Linked DNA regions of Drosophila melanogaster. The protein of the gene in region 2 interacts with the protein of the main gene of each other region in a pairwise test. Each region holds a gene or a part of one and is shown on either strand. Other genes may lie near its edges.

What was found. The genes of interacting proteins can lie anywhere in the genome.
Region 1: the proteins of CG7548 (region 2) and CG13992 interact in a two-hybrid assay, tested with the Drosophila melanogaster proteins (one large-scale study listed by BioGRID).
Region 3: the proteins of CG7548 (region 2) and CG17819 interact in a two-hybrid assay, tested with the Drosophila melanogaster proteins (one large-scale study listed by BioGRID).

Annotation. Positions count from the first base shown.
Region 1 is NT_033779.5:5,962,154-5,971,152, forward strand, and holds CG13992 (uncharacterized protein), read right to left. Parts: upstream 5,600-8,999; 5' UTR 5,462-5,599; intron 5,413-5,461; 5' UTR 5,346-5,412; coding exon 3,366-5,345; 3' UTR 3,238-3,365; downstream 1-3,237. Other genes in the region: psd (palisade), read right to left, coding at 985-2,130; Ucp4C (uncoupling protein 4C), read left to right, coding at 6,530-7,537; Ucp4B (uncoupling protein 4B), read left to right, coding at 7,749-8,406, 8,476-8,831.
Region 2 is NT_037436.4:7,502,940-7,510,154, forward strand, and holds CG7548 (uncharacterized protein), read right to left. Parts: upstream 3,279-7,215; 5' UTR 3,263-3,278; coding exon 2,669-3,262; 3' UTR 2,601-2,668; downstream 1-2,600.
Region 3 is NT_033777.3:21,881,491-21,889,074, reverse strand, and holds CG17819 (uncharacterized protein), read left to right. Parts: upstream 1-3,524; 5' UTR 3,525-3,539; coding exon 3,540-3,680; intron 3,681-3,742; coding exon 3,743-3,877; intron 3,878-3,935; coding exon 3,936-4,172; intron 4,173-4,229; coding exon 4,230-4,277; 3' UTR 4,278-4,347; downstream 4,348-7,584. Other genes in the region: CG6678 (uncharacterized protein), read right to left, coding at 1-236, 297-372, 521-1,040, 1,484-1,568; dnd (dead end), read left to right, coding at 1,933-1,935, 2,659-2,787, 2,851-2,982, 3,041-3,316; fit (female-specific independent of transformer), read left to right, coding at 4,644-5,009; CG31465 (uncharacterized protein), read right to left, coding at 5,176-5,846, 5,904-6,134, 6,193-7,584.

The DNA of each region.
Region 1 (8,999 bases), on a different chromosome or scaffold from region 2:
TTTTGAAACTTTTGAAATATCGAAATCAATGTTATATAGATATTTCTTATATTATAGACGACATACAAAAGAGTTAGTTAAATTTTAGTTAAACTCTATAAGAATTATGCGAACTTTGATAAATATGTCACTGTGTTATAGGCAGAGTATGCAAATTTCGACGTAACGAAGTTAACTTTCTTTTAAGACCGAATTTTAGTGCACATAAATGACCCAATATTTTAGCGCGCTTGCATTCTTGCTAAAAAAATATATGCGTCAATTTGGGCTACACTGAACAATAAGTATTAGTTCGTTTATGTTGTTATCATTTATCAACATTGAATTTCTCCAAAAAGTATGCATCGCATTGGTAAAGAAAATAGTTTAAAATATTTGTATGAACATGGGCAAGTCGGGTGATAAATATTTATTGGTTTTATATTTTATTTTAAAAACATATAACTATCATTTATCATTTAAATTAAACTCTAAAGACTATAACACTACATTTTGACGTTAAAGTGCAAATGAAACATACAAACATAAGCATAACATACAATATTTAGATATTATTGTTAGTTTATTTCCAAAAATCCTATCATTAAGAAATATTCTTCTAATTTTTTAGCCTAATGGTAGGTTATATTCATGCATAAAAAACAAGCCAACAGATATAGAATTGAATACAATGAAGAATTGCTGTACAAGCAGAGGAAAAATATCGCTGATGCTAATAAAATAATAAAAAATTCATTTGTGTTGCAAACTTAAAATCAATATATATTTTACCCTGATGTTCAGCTACATCATTTTACTTACCTCAGATCTTTTTATGCTTATTACTTGGTAAGCTGTATTTATCTAGAACTATATTACCAAACTGTATCAGTTTATAGGTTTTTAAATTTTAAACAATCTTCCACCCAATGCAACAGTACAAAGTCAGAAATTATTAGAAGACTTTTATTTACAGATTGGTCAAGCATCATGGCGTTTAGAGAACTACAAAATATTCTGGGAGGCAAGGGCCAGGCGGTAGTTGTATTCCTCGAACAGTTCCGGAGCCACTCGATATGGCTGATCTATGAGCGAAAGGCGGATGGGCGTTTGGCACGAGGGCGTGGCATAGTTGGGAGCAGGAGGAGCCGCCGGTTGGTAGCAATTCTGCGATGGCGCCTCGTAAACGGGGGCAGGTGGTGGCGGTGGTGGTGGGGCTGTTGGAGTGACATATTTCTGATCATCATACTCCACCTGGGAGGTGGACGACTTCGATGCCAGTGGAGTGGAGAGATAGATGATGGGCTGGTAAACGATCTGTGCCGGTGGTGCACCAACGTAGCTTGGCTGTGCGGGCTGGCTGTACCCCTGGGTGTAGCTGGATGCTGGTGGCTCATAGGCGGGAGCTGGTGGAGCGGGAGCACTGTAATCAGTTGTAGGTGCTTCGTAGGCAGGAGCAGCTGGTGCCGGAGCTTCATAGGCAGGAGCAGCTGGTGCCGGAGCTTCGTAGGCAGGAGCTGGTGGAGCAGGAGCTTCGTAAGCAGGAGCTGGTGGTGCCGGAGCTTCGTAGGCAGGAGCTGCCGGTGCTACATAGCCTGCATCGCCATCGCCGGGTCCATTGTACTCGGTATCGGGTTTGATGTACCCACCGTTGGGCAGGACTCCGTAACCATCACCGCCGTAGGAAGGACTCTGTGGCGCCGGTGCCACATAGTTGTTCTGACCACATCCACCGCCACACTGTCCACACGGACTGGCTGTGGGAAATAGTTCGGGAAGTTTCTTGAAGAGTTTCATCTGCTTGAAGGGATCCAGATCCTGCAGCTGCAGGCCGTTGCAGTTGTTGGGCACAGCGGGCGCGGGTAGCAGTGGAGCTGTCGGATACAGCAGGTTGTTATTGTTGTTGTTGCAGCAGTTGTTGTTGTTGCGGGGAAAGAGATCATCCCACCACTTGAGCAGAGAGCGGTTCGTGCGCTTCAAAGCCTCATTGGGGGTCACCACAGGACCTGCATCCGCCATCAGGTAGTAGAGTGGCTCCCCCGGTACCGCAATCCGATTGGACCGCGGCAAATCCTCGGCTGAAGTGGCCAGGACCACGCCCAGCGCCAGCAGGGTCAGAGTCCACGATCTGTTTCTGGAGTGCATCATCATGTGGTAATTGCGTTGGCAGCATTAACCTCGCGGTTCGAACTCTCAATTGCAACTACCAGAACCAGTGGCTCCCAATCGCAGCGGACTGCTGGAGTTGCACACCACAACGGATTAATGCCAGGTCAGCAGGTGTGGACACCTTTTGATGGGGTATAATAGTTGGCAAAATAAACATTAAAGATTGGATAGTGTTGCATTTTTTATAGCACCTTATAATATATTTTAAAATGTTGAATTAAAATTAGTTACAAGTAAACAGGTAACCAAATGTTCACACTAGAACTGATCGCCTTTTCTTAGTATCTTATCTGTAAATCTTAAAATTATCTGAACAAAAGAAAGGGTATTTAAAATTAATTATAAAGATTGTCTGTTATGAGGAAATTAAGACTAAACTTTTAGCTCAGCAAGTCCCATGTCTAACCCAATTTTTATTTTAGCCCCAATAGAGGTGGTGTTACCAATTCATCGAAGATTCCCAATAAGAGTCCCAATAACCCCACTGGCAGGCCGATGACTCCACACTACTTGTATTTTCTTTATTGTTGTCTTGCTTTCCTTATTGTTTATTCAAATTGTTCCCTTACGTGCTCGAAATTATTAAACAGTAGCGAAACACCAGTCGAGGTTCCTGTTTGCTCCGTGGAGCGTGACTGCCTTGGCTTTAATCCGCATCAGGCTGGCCAATCGAAAGCAAAATGCACTTGGCTGAACGGAAGTTGGTCGGAAAAAACAAAGATACAAAGATACGTTCAGAAACACATAATAAATACATAAATATATATTGGTTGCCGTAAAATATACTTCCGAAAGTAATCGTGGGCTTACTCATCGTTTGGTTATACTTAATACTGGTAATACTTAAGATACAACCAATAATAAATTCAAGTATATATATATTTGAAAAGTATTTATAGATGCTGACGCATTTGTGTTCGAAAACATTAATTACAGCTCTAGCTAAAAATAGTAGCACAAAAAGATATTTATTTGAATTTACATCTCTACAATTCTAATATTAGGTGAAATACTTGTTGGAAACTTCCCAAAGATACATGTTGGAAACAACTAACATATAAGATGAAACGATTCATTTTTTCATTTTGTATTTCAACTTTTGATTTATATTTTGATAAAGAGTCGCAACTACACCTGCCTAGTACTAAAGTACTATTCTTTTGACAATATAAATAAAACTTTATTCAATTTGAGGGATCCATTAACATATCTTCGAGCTACAACTGCTGCAGGTATCTATGCTTTTGGGGACTACGTCCGCTGGAGCGCTGACGGTGTCGCTTCCGTTTCTCCGTTGGCTTGAGCAGTTCCGTCGCCTTGCTCACAATGGCCGGAACTCCGGATGTGTCAGCGGAATCATCTGGCTCGGAGGCTGGTAGCGGTGTGGTCATCGCCGTATCATCTTCCTTGTCAAAATCTTCAGCAGAGTCCTCAGCCTCATCACTGTCGTGGTCATCACCCACAATGGTATCTGGCTGTTCTGAGCTGGGTGGCGCCGGAGTGCTACTCGAGAAGTTCAGCTTGCCCGATCTTTCCGATTGAACTTCTGTGGTAGGAGCAGCTTCTGTTGTTGAGGTGGAGGCAGCGTCCTGGTTGAATTTGAAGACGCGCTGGAAAAAGTTACCATTTTGCGTTGGAGCAGCGGGAGCTGGTGCTCCCAGAACTCTGTTGAAAGGATTGAAAGGATTGAGGGCTCCGAAGGGTCCGAATGGGTTCATTCCCATTCCAAGCTGCATGCCCATGCCAAAGGGGCCACCCACCTGGTGCTCCATGTCGTATCCCTGTCCTCCCATCTGGGGAGACATGCCAAAAGGGCTTCCCAGCTGTGCTCCCAGCCCAAATCCACCTCCAAAGGAACCTGCTGGAGCCAATGCTGGTGGTGCTCTGGGAAGCCCAAAGTAGGGAGTTGGTGCTCGTTGTGCGTAGCAGGGCATGCTTATAATGACCGGTTGGAAGCTCGGACAGGTGGTACTGTAGCTCACCCCGTTGTCCACTGGACATTGAATTGGTGGTGCTGTGGGAGGACATCCATTACAATATGTGTTGGCAGAGGGAGTTACATCTGCTTGGGAATAGGTTGGAGGTGGTGGCGGCAGAGTGGGTGGGGCAGGAGCCTCTGGGTATTGATTGTTGTAGGGGCTGTAGCCAGGAGACATTTGTCCCAACATGGGCTCATCCTGGTTGCTCACCGGTGCCTCCTGTGTGGGATGTCTTTCGTCTCCCAGGCTGCTGTAGAATGCCTTCATAACCGGATCGTTTTCGGGATCCTGCGTCTGCGACAACGGCACCCACATCAACTGATCTTCTGGTCGCGGTTGACTCACTGGCCTACGGTATTGCTGTTGGAGCTCCTCTCGCCTAAAACCCACATCCGGCACTGCCAGCACCTCCTCGTCGATAGTGAATCGATGTCTACCATTTCCGGCTACTGGGTTCTCGTTGGGGCGACTTGACGACCTCGCAAATGCTGCAGGATCATACGAAGCGGCCGTGGACGCTGGGCTTGGGCCAGCTGGAACTCCTGGTGGAGCTGCTGGCGGGCTGCCCACAATTGGGTGATGAAATTCTTGCATGCCAGCTGACTCCGCTGCAGGTGCAGTTGGAGGGGCTGCCATAGGGCCTCCGTAGAATCCGTACTGGGCGTGGGGCTGATGCTGCTGAGGATTAGGCTGCTGGTGGGGCTTCTCCTGGTATGACGTCGGACCCGCTGGCTGGACTTGGAGAATGCGAGTGGGATCTTCTGTGACGGGCTGCTGGGGATATGACCCGCCCTCAAAGGCGGGAAACACGGGAAAGTTGTGACCGTAATCATGATGTTCAGCGGGTTGAGGATTAAACGGAGGCATATGCTCCATGGAGGGTTGATTCTCGATTGCGGGTTCTGTGGATTTCGCTCCCTGGCACATGTAGAATGGCTCCCCCTGGCCACCTTGGCTTCTGACCTCCACACAACTTTGCTGGCTACTGTCGCCACCGAAGTTGGCTCCCCGGCACATATAATACGGCTCATCCTGCGGACTACTTGGCCTAATCTCCACGCAGATGGTAGTCATGGTGCGTTTGCTGCGATTCAGTAGATCCCTCGAAGCTGGACTGGCCTCATGTCCGGATGCAGTTGCTCCTGGTAACACCGTTAGCCCAATGGCCAGGCATGCCCAAAGGAAGATCAGCTTCAAGGCCTGTGGTTGGATATCCATGTTCTTCTTCCGCTCACTAACTTCCGTTTGCCGATGGGCAGCGCTTTTATAGTCTTTAACTCTGCTGCTGAGGATGGAGATCCATTAAAAGGTGCCTTCCAACTTCCACAACTTACCCAACTGATTTCCTCGAAGCGGTCTTTTGTAATTTTTCTCGTTTGTCTGAATTATGTTTTTCCTCTATTAACCGCGTTGTTCTGGTATATTGCACTGGTAATCGGAGTTTTATTCACTTGAAAATCGTATCACTGAATAAAAACCAATGCAGACACCAATTTTGAACGGACCTGGCCAAAAGGGGTTCGAATCGTAACCAAAATACACTTCCATGTGCGAAGTTGAAGTGAATTCAAACCGAAGTAGCCGATGTTAGTAACAATAAATAGATTATTTGTATTAATGCTATATTCTATGAAAATTGTATATACATTATGAAGATACTTAGGAGGGAGCAAGCTTTATAACATACTTTCTTTGTAATATGTTCATCTTGAATTCGTTACTAATCAAAAGAGTTCCTATAATAATAGAGCATTTGGATTCATACTTAAACATATTCAATTGCTTCGATTTCAGCTGATTCCTGCAAATTTCGACCAGCGTTTTCTTTTGGCATGGTGGACAGTTCAACAAACTCCTCAGGTTTCTTTCGATTTTGGATTGATCAGCACTTTCGTAAAGTGTGCGAAACATATGACACACAAGTGTTTGCTGGTTGGGTTGCCCGACATTAGCCAAATCGGTCAGTCGGTCAGCGAGTGTTAGATTGTCGGGAGTGAGGGGCACTTCATAGTAACTGACCTGACCCACTTGTAAGACAACGCGGGAGTGGCCTCCAGTACCCCGGGATGACTAATGAACCCTTATGAATGTGGGGTGTGTATTCCGTGGTCTTTAAACTAAGTCACTTCTGTTTCACCATCCGACTGGGTACTTCAATCAAAGGACCATACTTGAGTTTTAAGTACTCGTATCCTGGGATAGCATTCCTTGTATGTATATAGATGGATATTATATATACTAAAGAGAAACTAGTCCAATCGCAGACACCACCTGTTGGTATGTCGTCTATTTATAGTAACACTTAAATTGTAGCTACCTAAACACATTTCAAACAATTCTAAACAAACAATTCCAAACATACAATTCCACTTACCACTTACCGACCAAATTACGAGTTTACAATGGACAAAGCTGAACGCGACTACTGGCATCTTCGATCCTTGGAAATCGAAGAGGAGCCGCGATTTCCGCCAACAAACGTCGCTGATCCACTAACCGCACGCAATCTGTTCCAGCTCTACGTCAACACCTTCATTGGAGCCAATCTGGCCGAGTCGTGTGTCTTCCCATTGGACGTGGCCAAGACCCGGATGCAGGTAGATGGCGAGCAGGCCAAGAAGACGGGTAAAGCGATGCCAACTTTCCGGGCAACTCTTACCAACATGATCCGAGTGGAGGGATTCAAGTCGCTCTACGCCGGCTTCTCGGCAATGGTGACCCGAAACTTTATCTTCAACTCGTTACGTGTTGTTCTCTACGACGTTTTCCGGCGCCCTTTTCTCTACCAGAACGAGCGGAACGAGGAAGTGCTCAAGATCTACATGGCGCTGGGATGCAGCTTCACCGCAGGCTGCATTGCCCAGGCACTGGCCAATCCCTTTGACATCGTCAAGGTGCGAATGCAGACGGAAGGACGCCGCCGCCAGCTGGGCTATGATGTGCGGGTGAACAGCATGGTGCAGGCCTTCGTGGACATCTACCGCCGTGGCGGACTGCCCAGTATGTGGAAGGGTGTAGGGCCCAGCTGCATGCGTGCCTGCCTGATGACGACCGGCGATGTGGGCAGCTACGATATCAGTAAGCGCACCTTCAAGCGCCTGCTGGACTTGGAGGAAGGCCTGCCACTGCGTTTCGTGTCTTCCATGTGCGCCGGACTAACGGCATCCGTGCTCAGCACGCCGGCGGACGTGATCAAGTCGCGGATGATGAACCAGCCGGTGGACGAGAGCGGCAAGAATCTGTACTACAAGAACTCCCTCGACTGCGTTAGGAAGCTGGTCAGGGAGGAGGGTGTCCTCACGTTATATAAGGGCCTAATGCCCACTTGGTTTCGGCTGGGACCGTTCTCAGTGCTCTTTTGGCTGTCCGTCGAGCAGCTGCGTCAGTGGGAAGGCCAGAGTGGATTTTAGGAGCAAACTATCAATCTTACTATCGTATTTTGTATGTCTTTTAACACGCAATAAAAGGTGCAAGTCAAACCATCTATTATACATATTATAAATATAACTTTAATCCCAATCCTATTCGTTAATATGAAATGATTTTGTTGTCTTTAATTTTGCTTTATTTTATTTTTTATATTCCAATGCACACAACAAACACTCAAGATATTTCTCTTAAATGGGAAAAGGCGTTAACACAGTCTTTAGGCCAGCAGAATGGGACAATTCGGAGGAGAAGGAAAGACCCAAGTTGGAGTACTTGGTGACCAACAAGAAGACTCCGCCGGTTGAACTCTACCTCACGGCATTCGCCTCCGCCTGCAGTGCCGAGATTGTGGGCTATCCCTTCGATATGTGCAAGACCCGAATGCAGATCCAGGGCGAGATCGCGAGCAGGGTGGGTCAGAAGGCCAAGTACCGAGGTCTGCTGGCCACTGCCATGGGCATCGTCAGGGAGGAGGGTCTGCTGAAGCTCTACGGTGGCATATCCGCCATGCTGTTCCGCCACTCGCTCTTCAGTGGCATCAAAATGCTGACCTACGACTATATGCGTGAGAAGATGATCGTGCCCGACGAGGACGGCAGGCCGCAGCTATCCTTCCTGGGATCCTGCATCAGTGGCGTCTTAGCCGGCGCAACTGCCAGCGTACTAACGAATCCCACCGAGCTGATTAAGATCCAAATGCAAATGGAGGGACAGCGGCGTCTAAGGGGCGAGCCTCCACGCATTCACAATGTGCTCCAGGCCCTGACTTCCATTTACAGAACGGGTGGTGTGGTGGGTCTCTGGAAGGGAACTGTTCCAAACACATGGCGCTCGGCACTCGTGACCATAGGTGAGCCTTAAAATCGGGATTGGATCAGTCAGGTTCAGATATGTTCAATATCACCCCTTCCTTCTAAAGGGGACGTCAGCTGCTATGACTTTTGCAAACGCTTTCTGATTGCCGAGTTCGATCTGGTGGATAACCGAGAAGTGCAGTTCGTAGCCGCCATGACCGCCGGCGTAGCGGATGCCATTCTGAGCTTGCCAGCGGACGTGGTCAAGTCCCGGATCATGAATCAGCCAACCGATGAGCAGGGACGCGGCATTCATTACAAGGGCTCCCTGGATTGCTTAAGTAGGTTGGTTAGAGAGGAGGGCTTTTTGGCCATGTACAAGGGATTCATTCCATATTGGATGCGTGTCGGACCTGCCTCCGTGGTGTTCTGGATGACCTTCGAGCAGATTAGACGGTTTCGTGGCAGCGAAGGTTACTAGCTAAAGATGCAGTTTAAAATATAACAGAGTAAAATATCATTAATATCCTGGAGGAAAGTTGATGGGAAAGTTAGAGGGCCAAGCTCTTAAGTCAATCAGAACGAATTCCGTAGTAAATGGATAAACCTATTGGTATGCGGTGACCACATGGTTTATATGGGTAACCTT
Region 2 (7,215 bases):
CATGGCGCAGGCACATTGAAGCCAAAAAAACCCAACTTAAACTCAAAGCCAACAACTTACACTGGCTCATCAACTCTGGTTCTCCGCTCAGCCTAGATCACAAGGTCTTGCTCTACAATTCTATATTGAAACCAATCTGGACCTATGGCTCACAGTTATGGGGCAATGCCAGCAACAGCAATATTGACATCATTCAGCGAGCACAATCAAAGATTCTGAGAACCATCACTGGGGCACCGTGGTACGTTCGGAGTGAAAACATCCAAAGAGACTTAAATATCCCATCAGTTACCAACGCAATCACGGAACTTAAGGAAAAATACCATAGCAAGCTTCACACGCACCCCAACCACCTAGCGCGAGGTCTAATCCAGCTCAGCAGCCGTTCCCGTCTCCGGCGAAAGGACCTACCAACCCAGCGAATAAATTATTAGGGCCGTTTAAACATAGAACAGTTGGAAAAATAATACAACTGTTCAAAAAATACTTGTTATAGTTAAGATTTTTAAACTTATTGTTAGTTCTTATACAAGAAGATTCAATAAATAAAAGCAAAGTAAAATAAAAAAAAAAAAAAAAAAAAAAAATTGCTTCAATTCCAGATTATCACTGTTAAATTATATTACTTATTACATTATTAAAATATTGACGCTTTTGATAGGTCATAACAACAAATGTATTCTCTCTTACGTTGAAAGGCTCTCTTCTAACGATCTTCTTTAACAAACAGTAACATTTTTTTTTACAATTTTTGAGTAGCACATATTTGATACTTAAACCGGGTTTTAGTTAAAACGATTTGATTAATTTGCAATTTTTTAAATAAGCATGCAATCGCATAAACAATGAAATGAAGAGAAATAAAAAAAATGAGCTCTCTTAATTCTCTTGTATCTCTCGTCATAGAGTTAATTATAAACCAGAGACCTGGAAATCGTGCTGGAAGCTATAACTAATAAACAAATGCAGTATACATTTTCACATGCGAATATTCTCTTTATGTGTTATCAATATTATTAATCGTTTTGTGCTACTTATTAACTTTTATAAGTTTAAAGGCAATTAATTACAGTTGGAAGTTGCGATGCACTTATACCGCATATGATAAGAAAATAATTCGCTGAAACAATTCGCATATATTAGAACCTCCTAACTGTTTGGAAAAAGCTGGTACTTGATATTTATATCAGACAATAACAAACAAAGGTAGTCTTATTAATATTTTAGTAATATTATATGTTTCCTTTTGTACTTTCAAATACGTATTTCCATTTAAACATGTAAAACTGAAATCATCATTGAAGTTCTAGTAAATTATCTCATTAACAATTATTTCACAATTTTTTTTAAGCCACCCAAATTGACTTAATATTTGTTGGAAGCACGGAAAGTATCAAGATGTTGAAGCAAGTTTTCGCCATGACTCTATCTTGCTTTGCGGCTTTGCCATTTTGCGGTTTAAAGGGCCATTAAAAAATGTAATTATGTTGATAAATACGTCTTACTGGGCATTTTGCATTTTTATTTTTCGCCAACTTGCCTTTGGACGATGTCCTGGCTGTGGAAAGTGGGAAAACTTTAGCCGCAACAGCTAAATAAAAACAACAACTAACGGCTCGGCCTTTCTTCGTCTCCTTTGCATTTTGTTAGCTGTTTCAACTTTTCAGCCAACAAATTTACTAGCCCTGGTCGGGCAAATATTTTATCATTGCGCCTTTTAGCACTCAAGTGGCGGACAGAAGTGGTGGCTCAAAAAGGGGGAATGACAGGAGGTCCTGCAGGATGCCGGACTAAGCGGAGTTTATGGCTTCATTTTTCGCAACTTTGTGCCTTTTGCTCGGTTTTTCAATTCGGAAATTCGCTCCAGAAGTTGCTGGCCCTGTTCTGGTAATCATTTTGGCCATTACTTTGATGGCCAGCTAATGAAGCTATCATTTAAATAGGCTATGGAAAAAAGAGGAGCACACAAATTGGTTATTGACTCCGGGCATTCATAAGTTTTCGATTTGCTTCCGGCTGCGTATGGAGTTTTCCTTTTTCTTTTGCAAAATTAATGAGGCAGCAAAAATCTGATTTCAATTTCCCGATTACAGTTGTCAATGTGCATAATTTACGAGGATGGGCAGAATCTTATTAGTTCATAAGCCATGCCACTTCATGGTCCTTCGCCCTTTCAAATGCTCCTGGCTCCTTTGGTTGCCATTCCAGTCACGTAGCTTTCATGTCCGATTTTTAAGTTTGCGCTGCACAAATCACGTAAGCCCTCTGCATCCTTCTGCCCTAGGATCTAAGGATCACGGACTGGTGTAAGGACCAGAGCTAATGTCCTACTTGGGGCTATTTGTAGGGTGCACTTTGTGTGGATTTTTATGATTTGTTTACGCTGCCTCCGAACGTGAGTGATAAACAGGGAATAAACCACACGATGTACAAGAAAACCAATGCAAATGCTGCGTACATGATGCAAATATGGTTATGCAAGAACATTATATAACAAGCTGTTAACAACTATTAACTGCAGAGCTTAACTAAATAAAAAATTAAATCGAATAAGAAACAATGTCCAGTTTTTATAAGTATTTAAAAACATTTAAGGTTTTAGTTCAACAATTTATTTAACAAGCATACACAAGCTATTCTTTATAATCTTAACTTAAGTATTGATCACTTAAAATCCGTAGTGGGTACCGAAACCATCGAAGCTCATGTGGGAGACGGTCTCCGCCGGAGAATAGTGGATGACAGCAGGCTGGTGGCTGTAGTGGGCGTTCTGTTGGTAAACAGAAGGTGCCTCCACATGACCAGGTTGGTGGTAGCTCTGCACCTGAGCGGGCTGATGGTAAACCGATGGAGTCTGGACATGAGCAGCCTGCTGGTAAACCGATGGAGTCTGGACATGAGCATCCTGCTGGTAAACTGGCGATGCCTGAGTAAACAGATTTTTTGGTTCCTGATGAGCCTGGTGCGTGTAAACCGGAGCTGGAGCTGTAGCATAACTGAAGGTCTTGGCCACCGCCGGCTGGTAGACATTGTTGCTGATCCGCGTGTCCTGCTTGTGGACCTGCGAGTAGGGCGTGGCCAGCGACTTGGCGTAGTGGGAGACGGTGCCATCGAAGCTCCTTACTACATTCTGTTGGGTGTGGGCCACCGCGTGCTCATTGCCAGCATAGGTGATGGTCGGCTGAGCAATCAGACCTGCCCAGGTGGGAGCCAGGAGTAGAAGCAAGCTGGAGGCAACGCTGAGGAACTGGAAGTAAGCCATGTCGATTGGAGCAATTGGAACAACTGTGCTGGATAACTCGGTGGTTGGGCCATATATAGAAGACCTGACCAGCGCAATGCCAATTACTCATAATCGGGCGTACAGCTCAAACTCGTTTCAGCTTTGCCGTCTGGCTTTGCGTGACTTTCAGAAATCCATTTCTCTATCCCTCGATCGTGGCAAATCAATTTACAATTGCCCAGCTCCAAGTGACAGCCACAAAAGTCGGTGTGGGTGAGCCTATCAGCCGGAGAAGGCAATGGAGAAGGGCGTGTCGTCGACCCAGTTTATAAAGCCCAAGACTTTGGCCCATAGACATTGCATAATGCCCGGAATAAGGTAAGGTCTGTGCACTTGCCGCACTTGCTCCACATTTCGCGGTGATGGCAACTTACAATTGTCCGCTGAAGGGCCATCAAGTGGCCAAAACATATTGCGGCCAGCGCGATTTATTGCCCATCGGAGATGCATTAACGCCGCTGCCAAATTGTTAATGCATTTCAGTTCCAACCGCTCTTCAAGCATCTCAATCTGAGTGTTACGCTTCCACATGAATATATGCATCTTAATGTGGATAGTTGTATCATCCGAAGTGGTAATAGTTGCAGCAAAGGAACCATCACTGTTTTAAACGTATGAAAATAACATATCCATCCCATGACTTAAATTTTGCAGATATGAATATATCAAAAATATATCTAATATCAACTATTAAACCTCCAAATGCATCACTTCTTAAAAGTTCCATTGATTTTCGATCGAACTGCGCCTCACTTCCGCTTTATACTTAGTTCCCTGTTTCCGTTTCCGTTTCTGTTTCTCTCTCAACGGACTGACACTCCAGTCAACTTGAAGTTGCCTCATTGATGCGATGCCGCTCTTTGATTCTTTGGATGGTCCGTGAAATCGTTCAACTCACAATTGAGTCATAATGCAATTGGCAAACGTCAAGCAAATGTTGTTAACTTGCCAAACGACACAGAGAATGGGAAGATGGATGGATGGAATGGATGGACTGAACTGAATGGAGAGACCGGATATCCGATGGGCAAGTGTTGGAGACATTGTTGCCATCAAAAGCGGAGGAAAACTTTTGCGCAATGAAAATGACACACACTGGCAAATAGCATCAACATCTCGGCGCCAAATGTGATTACGGTAACAGCGATTGCTGACCAACTTGAGAAAGTCACCTTTGTTGGTCCCACTCGATACACATATCTTTATTGTGCAGATTATTTGGGAGATTTGGGGGGAGAGTGTGTGCTTGTATGTCCATTATGGTCCTTATGAAATTCGGCACATAAATTGTATTATTGCATTTATGCTTGATTTTATTTCGCAGCCCAACTTTCGACTCTGCTTTTCTTTGCTGATTGTGTTTGAGTGTCGAATTGGCTTTCGCATTACTTGTTTTTTTCCTTTTTTTTTGAGTTTCGTTTTGGCCTTAAGTGGATTCGTCTTCGTTTACGTCTGCATTGTCGTCTGACTGAACTTAACGTTTTATTGAACCGACAGGAATCACATGTGAGTGCTTACATTTCAACGGTTTCCTTTGCCATTTCAACTCATGCGCCAACGCAATTTGAACTTCAATTAGCTGCATTTGGCCATGGCTAATAAACGCCGCCATTCTCGTCGCTCCTCGTGCTGATATACAATTACAAATGACGCGTCAGGGCCAGGCCGAAAGTCAATTACCAGGGAGCACGGTGGGAAATGATCTTCCCTCTAACCTATTTTGGATGAATGAAATAGTACGTAGATTTTTTTGAAATTAAAAAAAAAAATTTCAATAAGTCTGCTGCTTGAAAGTGGGAGCAATAAAAAGTACGCCATTATACTGCTCAATAAAGAAAAACCTACATTAAGCACCAAACCATATGTATAAGTAGCCATTTAAAACACTAGAGTATTTAATTCATGATACGAATTTATTTTAGCACTTAACCTAATACCAAAAAGGAAATTTTTCTCTGTGCACTCGAAAGCGAAAAGAAGGAATAGTAACATAAAAGCCCGCGCCTCGCTGGCTAATTGGAATTGAAACATAAATTAAGCGTCCAATTCGGAGGCGAAGACGGCAGAATGCAACTAAAACTTTACGACTTCTTCACTTTGGCCAATTGCGAGTTCGACTTCCGCATTCACATGCCGTTCTGCACTTTTACGTTTTGTCGTAATCCCCGCCAATTACGATACTAGCCACTAGTCACCCACTACACACACTCCTCTGTTGGCCAAGTTTTGTAGTTCTTACCGCTGGTGTTGCATCCACATTGACAGCTTAGATTAAGTGTTGACCATAAATTGGCACGGTTAGTTGGCGCTTGTATTTATGAGGCCAGTGCAGTTGCCATTTAGCAGGTCGAATTTATATACTGGCAATTACAAGTGGTTGTTCATTTGTTTAAAGATTTAATGTGTATATTTGTAATAAACATAAATTTCTTCAGTACATTGGTGATATTTAGGTACATATTTTGATAAGCACTTGTTTGAACAAATTTCTATATTATAAATTACGAGAGAAATAAAATATTAACCACAAAACTCTGTTGAATCTGAACTACTGGCACACGGGTTAAATTCCGCCATGAATGCTAAGGTTCCTTGGTGTTATATTGCCAATCAGCTGCGGAAACCACCCCACCCACTCGCACACCAAGGCCAGTCTCATTTTCCCCCACACCGCATGCTCCTTGGCCATCCGTAGTTTATGGCACAAAGGGGACTTGGCTTCAATTTTCTTTATATTACAGCTTGATTTAATTTGACGTGAGACTTGCTCTGGGGCCCTGTTCTTGACCAGACCGAAATTAGAAATGTAGCCATGCAATGCGGAAACTCGTACTTGAATACATTTCTAATTCTGATTCTGAAGTGAAGCGATTACAGGTTACATTCGGGAAAATTCAAATGTTGCTTAATGAAAATATGAACAATTGGAAAAAGCAAATGTCATTTACCAGCTGCCAAGAGCAGCGACTTATCAATCTGCCCGATTGATATAATTTCATAAGGCGACCTTTGCCCCCGCCCACAACAACAAAAAAAAAAAAACACTTTCAATGTAGTGCCACGCCCACCCACTGTGACAGGAAAAACTTTTGGTGCAAAAAAGTAATAAAAAGTAACGGAAAGCGTTAGCTTAATAACAAATGGAAAGCGGAAAACGAGAGGGCAGTGCTGGTCGAAAAAAAGGGAATGATAATGAAAATGAAAATGCATAAACAGAAATCGTTGACAAGGCGGTGGGCGGAATGTACTGGGCGCTTAGATGAAGGACGGCTGCGTGGAAAACTCATTAAAACTTTTCACAGCCCATTTAAAAGCAATTTGTAAATTGTAAAACTTGCACTTGGACCGCGCAAAGTCGGTGAAAAACGTTAATAATTATTATTTATACTTTCACGCCAAGCATAATCCATATTGTAAGCGAAATGTAGGCTGAGCATTTTAATACAATTAACTGTTTGTAATTTGTACATCAATTTTCTCAAAATGCTTAATTGGGAATCAAACATTTAAACATAGCATATATCCTGACAACAAGCTTACAAAAACATCTTTTATTATTAAAAAAAAAATCTACAAACTTTAAGCAAGGTATTTTTTTGAAAATACTGTAATTAATCATTCAATTGCTTGCTAAAAACTCAGTTAAAAAAAAAAAAAATCCTCAAAGAGAATGGTGCACTCGGCAATCTGCCACTGCCCATTTCCGTGGCATCTTTTCAGTCCGGAAAATAAGGGCTCGTCGCAATCACTTTGAGCCCGTGGAAAGGCTCACAATCGCAGACATTAAATCAAATTTCCGCACAATTCCGGCAAGGGGTATGCGAAAAATTGTGTTAGCTGCGGTTGGCTTTCCTTCGCAGCCTTCTGCTTATTTTACTTCCACTACCGATGCCACAGCGCCACTTAAATATTCAAAGCGAAAAGTTGCCCTA
Region 3 (7,584 bases), on a different chromosome or scaffold from region 2:
CCAGCAAACACCCTCAGCGGTGCGCAATCATCGTTGCTCTCCCCGCTTTGGGAGCAGGCACATTCGGGCAGATCTTGCAACTGGGGCAGCGGAAATACAGTGGGCTCTTTGAGGACGCCACCGGGTTTCATCACACGCAATCCCAGCTGACCGCTGCAGTTGAGGCCCCAGGTGTAGAGGTCTCCAAAGGCGGATATGGCCGCACTGTGCCAACCACCGGCAGCAATTTGAGTTATCTGCAAGGCACTTGAATGTGTGACAGACAAGATAAGTGGACAAGTCAAATATATATATACCTTGATCCCCGCCAGCGCCTCCAGCAATTGAGGCGTCTCCTCCACTCTCAGTTCCGCCAGACCCAACTGTCCGCGTCTGTTAATTATGACATAGAAGTGAAAAAAATTGTTAGGAATTAGAATAAGAAACTCGCTAATATCTAAATATCTTAAAACCAGAATATGTAAATATTTATAGGCTGCATTTCTGCACAGCCAACGCATTCATTATGACCTTTACTTACAGTCCATTTCCCCAGGTGAACACGTCGCCATTGGCATTGAGGAGCACGGCATGTTCATGGCCGCATTGGAGCTGCTTCACCCGAAATTGGCGCTCGGAAAACTGATGCAGGCAGCTGGGAATGCTGTAGACACAGTTTTCCGAACTTATCGCTACGTTTATGTGCGATCCACATGCAATATGCTCTATGATCGGCGACGAAGGCGCCTTGGCAGCCCCAAAGATAGAGCGCTTTGTACCCGAATTGGATCTGGGAGCAGCTTCTAGTCTAACAGCCACCAGTTCCGCTTGCAGTTTTGGTTGCACCCTGTAAAGCTGACCGCTTTGGAGTAGCACCAGGCAGTGGGAATCGGCAGCGGCAAGGGCCCTTATGTTCCCCGTTGCTTCCAGGGTCACGCACTCATTTGGGCCATCATCCAAGAGCCCACGCAGGCACAACTTCCGGCCAAAAGCGAGGGCCGCATACCGCCAGCCGATCGAAATCGTGCACTGGTTCTGAGTCGAGACTGGCGCATTTAATTCTGTAATAAAGGCAGAACTGAATTAGTACACATACATACATACGGTGGAAGCCCCCTAAAAAGATTTTGTCTAAGTTATTAGTTTATCAATTTCATTGCTATGTATGTATTTGGCCAATCAAAAAATGCAGTTGGCACCAAGTACCGATGTGTAATTTACCCTATAACTGTCAATTAAAATGCAGTCTATATCCAATGCATGAATATGAATATGCAAAGAATTTTATGGATTAATGTCCTACGTATATATTCACCTGAAAATCACTATACTCTATTTTAAACATGAAATCTTAAAAATTCATCTGGCTTAAATCGGATTCAGTTTTATAAGATAGAATTAGAATTGTAAAAATGGTATAAGCTGCATGCATCCCAGCGAGTTCTATAGCGAGTGCCTACTGTAGCAACTAAGTGATCGGCGGCTTTTGTTGCCGGTTACAAACCGCTGAAGCCGGCTGCGCAGTCGACGTCGCCGCTTACACATTCATGCTGGCCAAATGCGTTGAAGCCCGTAAATAGCAGCGGCATCTTCTTCCCGTTCCCGTTCCAATTCGAATACCGCTCGACCCGCACCCCCACCACGTCCCCCGTCTAACAATCCTTTGCAGCGGTTGCTCGGCGACCGTTGGCGCTGTTGTTGTTGCTGTCGGAATTTGTTAGAGCGTTGAGCGAATTTTGTTTTCAGTAGTTGTGCAGCGACGAGCCAGTGATGTTGTGTTTGGTGGTTGAAGTTGATCCAATTCTCAAGTTATCCGACTTTTCCTGAGTTGACCACCAGAAGACACCGTCTTGGGCGGCCAGAGCAGATTGCCGAATCGGGGGGATACAGATACGGATATAGTGGTCGGAGATCGCACCGCCTCCTGGCTGTTATTCTCGCGTTAATTATACGATGGTAGGTTGTCTCCCGGTTCCGTAACAGCTAATTAAGTGCCTTGTTGTTCCGTAATTGCACGATTTGTTTTCATTTTGCGATCGTCGCCATGGAAACCCGCCTCAAAAACTATACAACACTTTTTTGTTAGAGCAGAACTTTTTTCAGCACTACTTCGAAAGTTTTAGGCGCGTAATTATCGGTATTCGAAAAAAAAAACCAAATTGGTGGTTCGGAAAACAAAGAAACATAATAAGCTTTTTGTAGCACACAATGGAAAAAAGAGTTCTTAATTTTTAAGTGAACATGGCAAATTTTTTTACCAATAAACATTTTTATTTCATTCAACCTTGTTGTCGTTTCTTTTGGCGAGCCCTTATCTCAATTCCAACAATATGTTTGTAAAGTTCACCTGTTGATAAGCTTTTTGCATTCTATCACTAAGAGAACGTTTTAATTGCAAGTTTTTTTTTTACAACTTTACATCGTCTTTATTGATAACAACATTGATAATAACAAAACATGTGTGTTTACAAGCATATGTTGCATTTATAAAAACACATATATTTATTAACAATTTTACAAGTTTATAAACTACCAAATGTAGATTGTTATTCAAAATTTCAAAGATAGACCAGAGGATACTACCGAGTCTAGACTAATACTGGTAATCAGGTGCTAGAATAACACACCTTCAAAAAACTAAGTAGAAAAAACAACAACTTAATAGCTTACAAATTTTAGGGTCTGCTATCGCTGTTGCGTAAACTGAGACCCAATCCGGAAAAGGAGGCTCGCATCCTGCTCCTAGGATTGGATAATGCTGGCAAGACCACGATACTGAAGCAGCTGGCATCGGAGGACATAACCACGGTGCGTATAAAGGCGGCGAACTTCTTCCGTTTTCCCCATAAAATACGGAGTGAAATCCCGCAGGTAACGCCCACGGCAGGATTTAACATCAAGTCCGTGGCAGCCGATGGTTTCAAACTGAATGTATGGGATATTGGTGGTCAATGGAAGATACGTCCATATTGGAAGAACTATTTTGCGAATACTGATGTGCTGGTAGGATTGTTATAGATCTAAACTCAATTCTGTTAGCTAATAGTTTCGATTATTTCAGATCTATGTAATTGACTGTACAGATCGGACTCGCCTGCCCGAGGCGGGTAGTGAACTATTCGAAATGCTCATGGACAATCGGTTGAAGCAAGTTCCCGTGCTGATTTTCGCTAACAAACAGGATATGCCGGATGCCATGAGTGCCGCCGAGGTGGCCGAGAAGATGAGCTTGGTGCAACTGCAGGGACGAACCTGGGAGATCAAGGCCTGTACCGCTGTGGATGGCACTGGACTAAAGGAGGGAATGGACTGGGTCTGCAAGAATATGAAGAAGTAATCTAAATTATAGTAATCGTCGCCTGTTAAGTTGTCCCTAAGAACTAAATATACGTACCTACATTTCAACTCACCAAAAGTATCACAATCTCTAATTGTTGGATGAATCTTCCTTTTTTCACGTGTATCTTTAAGTATAAACTGAATATATAGTTGAGAAGGCTATGCTAGTTAAATCATTCATTTTTACCTGACATCTAAACTGAAATCAAATTTCGATCCCCATGTGTTTTTACGGACCTGTTTCGTTCATAAAAAAGATCCTGCCCGCAGGCTCTCAGAAATCATGTCTGCTCATTTTAGGATTAGACAATGCGGGAAAATCCACGTTGACAGACCGCCTGGCGGAAATTTTCAATGGAGAAGTAAGGCCATATATGTGATGGTCCTATCTCCATTTGATAATGTTAGCATAAACTATTTGCAGTCCAAGGAATCTAACAATCAAGTTAGTGAATGGAGCTTCACCATAAATAATTTCAGAGTCCAGTTGTGGGATATTAACGGAGAACTGAAGAATCGCCAGATCTGGCCAAAGTATTATAAGAAAGTGAATGTTTTGGTGAGAGGAGAACTTATATAGAACTTATATAGACTCGACTACAATCCCTGAACCGTAGATTTTTGTACTGGATAGCACGGATGCACTGCGGCTAAGCGAGGCGCGATGTGTTTTATGCGATGTTTTGATGCACCAGGAACTGGATAATGCTCCGCTGCTGATCGTGTCCAACAAGAAGGACGCCTCGGGATCCCTGTCCATGTCCACGGTTATCGATTTGATGGGCCTATATCGCCTAACTGGTCGAGATTGGACTTTTGAGGAATGTTCCATGCGGACAGGGTCTGGTGTTCAGGTATATGTTGTGTTCTATATTCGAAATCTGATAATTTAACTTATACTATCTGGGTAGGAGATCGTAAATTGGATTAACGAAAAGATCAACAATAACAGGAAGTGATTTATCACATTTTTATATTTTCAAAAATTTGGCAACCTATTAACTAATATATTAAATATATATTTAATGTAATTTAGCAACAATAGTTTGTTACACTTGTATTATAGAAATTATTTGCCTCAAATAATGATTCATTTAGTTTGCTGATCGGCAAACACTCTTTTAATTAATACATTAATACAGCCATTTGCTAATCAATGATTTTTGACATTGACCTCTGTCAATAATTGAAAAACTCGTGGCTGAGTAGCAACATTGTGAGGACAAAGCCCTTTTGCATTATCAGTTATTAGTTGTTGTTGCTTTTGGGGCTATAAAAGGGTTAGTTATAGAATTGACTGGCACAGTTTAACAGCGATCGTTGAAATGAACTCAACTCTGGTGATTCTACTTCTTTCGGCTCTGGCTTTGGTGCAGGCCAGGAATATTCGTTGGTCTGAGGAGGACAACTCGTCCCAAGGTCCAAGTCTAAGCCACCCGCATCCGCACTCTGTCAACTGGCCCTGTGATGTGGGTCACTTCCCAGAGGCATTCATTCTAATGCACAAGGTGGATAAGCGACTGGAACGAATTGACAACGAGAGTACCAAGAAACGGATCGAGAACTACGCCGTCAATCAGTTGAGGCAGTGCATCTTGGATGGCCAGATGGACGTGCACTGCGTTAGGCGTTCGATTGGATACACCATGTCATTCATTCACCACCAAATGAGCCAGGCGAATGGAATGTAAGCTCACGACTTGGTGATCAGTTGATATAATTTAAGGACATTCCTTTAGCCACCTTTTTTTTGCAAAATGCATTTTAATAATCAAATCCTTTCAAACGAACTAATTAGTAACAAATTATCAAAATAAATTAAGTTTAAATAATAATTAATTTAAATTCAGCTTTGTCTTATGGGTTTGGATTCCCATTCGTTTCGCGCGAAGCTTGAGGAGCAAGCTTGTGGCACTTTTCCTGCTCGGCCAGCTGGCGCTCCTTTTCCATTTTGGCGAACTTGCTGCCCATATAGAGCTGCTCCTTGAATCGATTCTTTCGCCGCTCATCCATACTGTATCGTCGTAGCATATCCCGTCTGTCCACAATCGACATGCAGATGTCCTGGCAATCCCGCGACGGCTGGCAGAAGCTCCACGAACCGAAAATGGTGTCCACACAGCCGCAGGTGCGACAATAGCCAACAAAGTGACCGATCAGATTGGAATTCGCCTTGCGGAAGGATAGAGAAAGTGGCCCGCCCAGGATCATCATAGCTTGTCCCGAGAAATACCAATCGGTGAGATTATCCAGGAGATCGTGGGCCCTCGGCGGCACTGTCTCCTGCACACTAATATTTAGCTTAATGCCATGGTAATTGGGAGTTTTCAAGTCGGCCGCATCCTTCAACTGCGTCCTGTTCATCTTGACGCACTGTCGTCTCGTCCTGCGATAGGTACGACCTTTGTGTTGGCTACAGGTCGGCTTTTCCGCTTCTTCGCCATCTGAATTTGTTGGCGGGGTCTTGATATTTATGCGAATGCCAAGGACTTGAGATTCCCAGGATCCGTTTAGATCGCAGGGCGCACCTGAAGTTTTAAACTTTATATACATACATGAATCTTAGCTCTACCACCTATTCTTACCATCAGCTGGATCCACGAAGCAGCAGGGCAGCTTTCTCTCCTCCTCCTCTTCCGACGATTGATTGCTTGACTTGCTTGCCTGAATGCTCTCCAATCGTTCCAGGATCTTGTCTAGAACCGGCGAAATCCCCAGCTGGTCCTCTGGCTGTTGATGCGGCGTCTGTGATGGTGGACTTGGGACTTGGCACATGATCTCTGATCCCTTTCGGAAACTACTTCCGATCTGACTTGCTTTTACACGATATTCATAATTTCAAATAGATTTACAGCGATATACTCACTGACTTACCTGATGGTATGCGATTGGGTGCATATCTCAATCCACCATCGGCTGCATTTTGACCGGTTCCCACAATCCTTTGAGCCACCTCCAAAGGTGATAGATTCATTTGAGTGGCCATGGTGTCAATGACATTACTACCGCCCAGCTGTGATGGCTGATTGACTAGCACTTCGGGAAACGGTGCTTGCAAAACGTGGCCAGAAACAGGATTATTCATGAATATGTTCCTTTTCATGGGTATCCTGGCTGGATTTTTGCCCCTCTCCAAAACCTCCTTCCACCAACTTTGCTTTGTTTTCAACGCCTGATTGAGGTTTTCGATTTGCTTCTGATACTCATCCACCAAGTTAAAGAATGAAGATTGCTTGATGGCCTTCAAGCCACCTATTATCTGTTTGGGATCGAGTCCTGAGAAAACCGATTGTATTTTTGGAACACTCTCCATCACTTTAGTTTCGATTTTCGTATTAAGTTTAGAGCTAGTTACTTTATCGGGCTTCTTTTCGGGGACTACATTCTCTTCAATGGTCTTGCTAGATGGCTTATAGTGCGGCTTACTCTCTGATTCTTTCTTAGGTGATTCATTGAGACCAGGCTTTATCAATGGAATGTCATTCCAAACCAGCTGACGATTTTTGGAGTTTGGTAGATAATAGGGCTTAAGACCGCCGTTCTGATTACTTTCCTTGTTCATTTTGATAAATGTGTTCAGAGCCTTCAAATAGTTATTGCCTTGGCTCGGATTTTCATTCGAAAAGCAGCTTTTAGTTGGGGTCTTACTCTGTGGTTCCTTACATTTTGGCGTTGTCGCTTTTGGTTTATCACACTTATTGCTCGTAATTGGTTTTTCAATGGGAACACACATCTTGGTTGTGGCCTTAGTTTCTGGTTCGTCACACTCAACAGTAGTCGCTTTTTGTTTATCACACTGACTTGGAAGGATGTCCTCACTGTTCATCCGGCGACCCGACTCGCTATCCGAAGGATAATCCGTTTCACTAATGATATGGGATTCTCTGGGAAATTTATGATCACTGAATAACTGAACGAAGCCCTTCTTATACTCATCGTAAAGTCCACCAGCCTTAATGCTTGATCTCCTGGAGTTGATGTCATCTAACAATCTTTTGAATGCATTGGTAGCACTTCCGGGCTCCATATTTTCAAAGATCCCGGATATATTATTTTTCTTTATAGCTCTCAATGAGGCTCTGCTATCTGTTACTAGTAGAGCATCCTGCTTGATTTGATTCTGCAAATTTGGTTCCATTTCTTCGTTTATTTTATCGGCCAATTCCTTGACTAAATCGCTTTTCTGAAGCCTCTCAATCACATCCATTAAATCTGTTAATGCACTTATTTTCACAGACCCCGACGAGCTTAAGGGTTTCGGCGGCG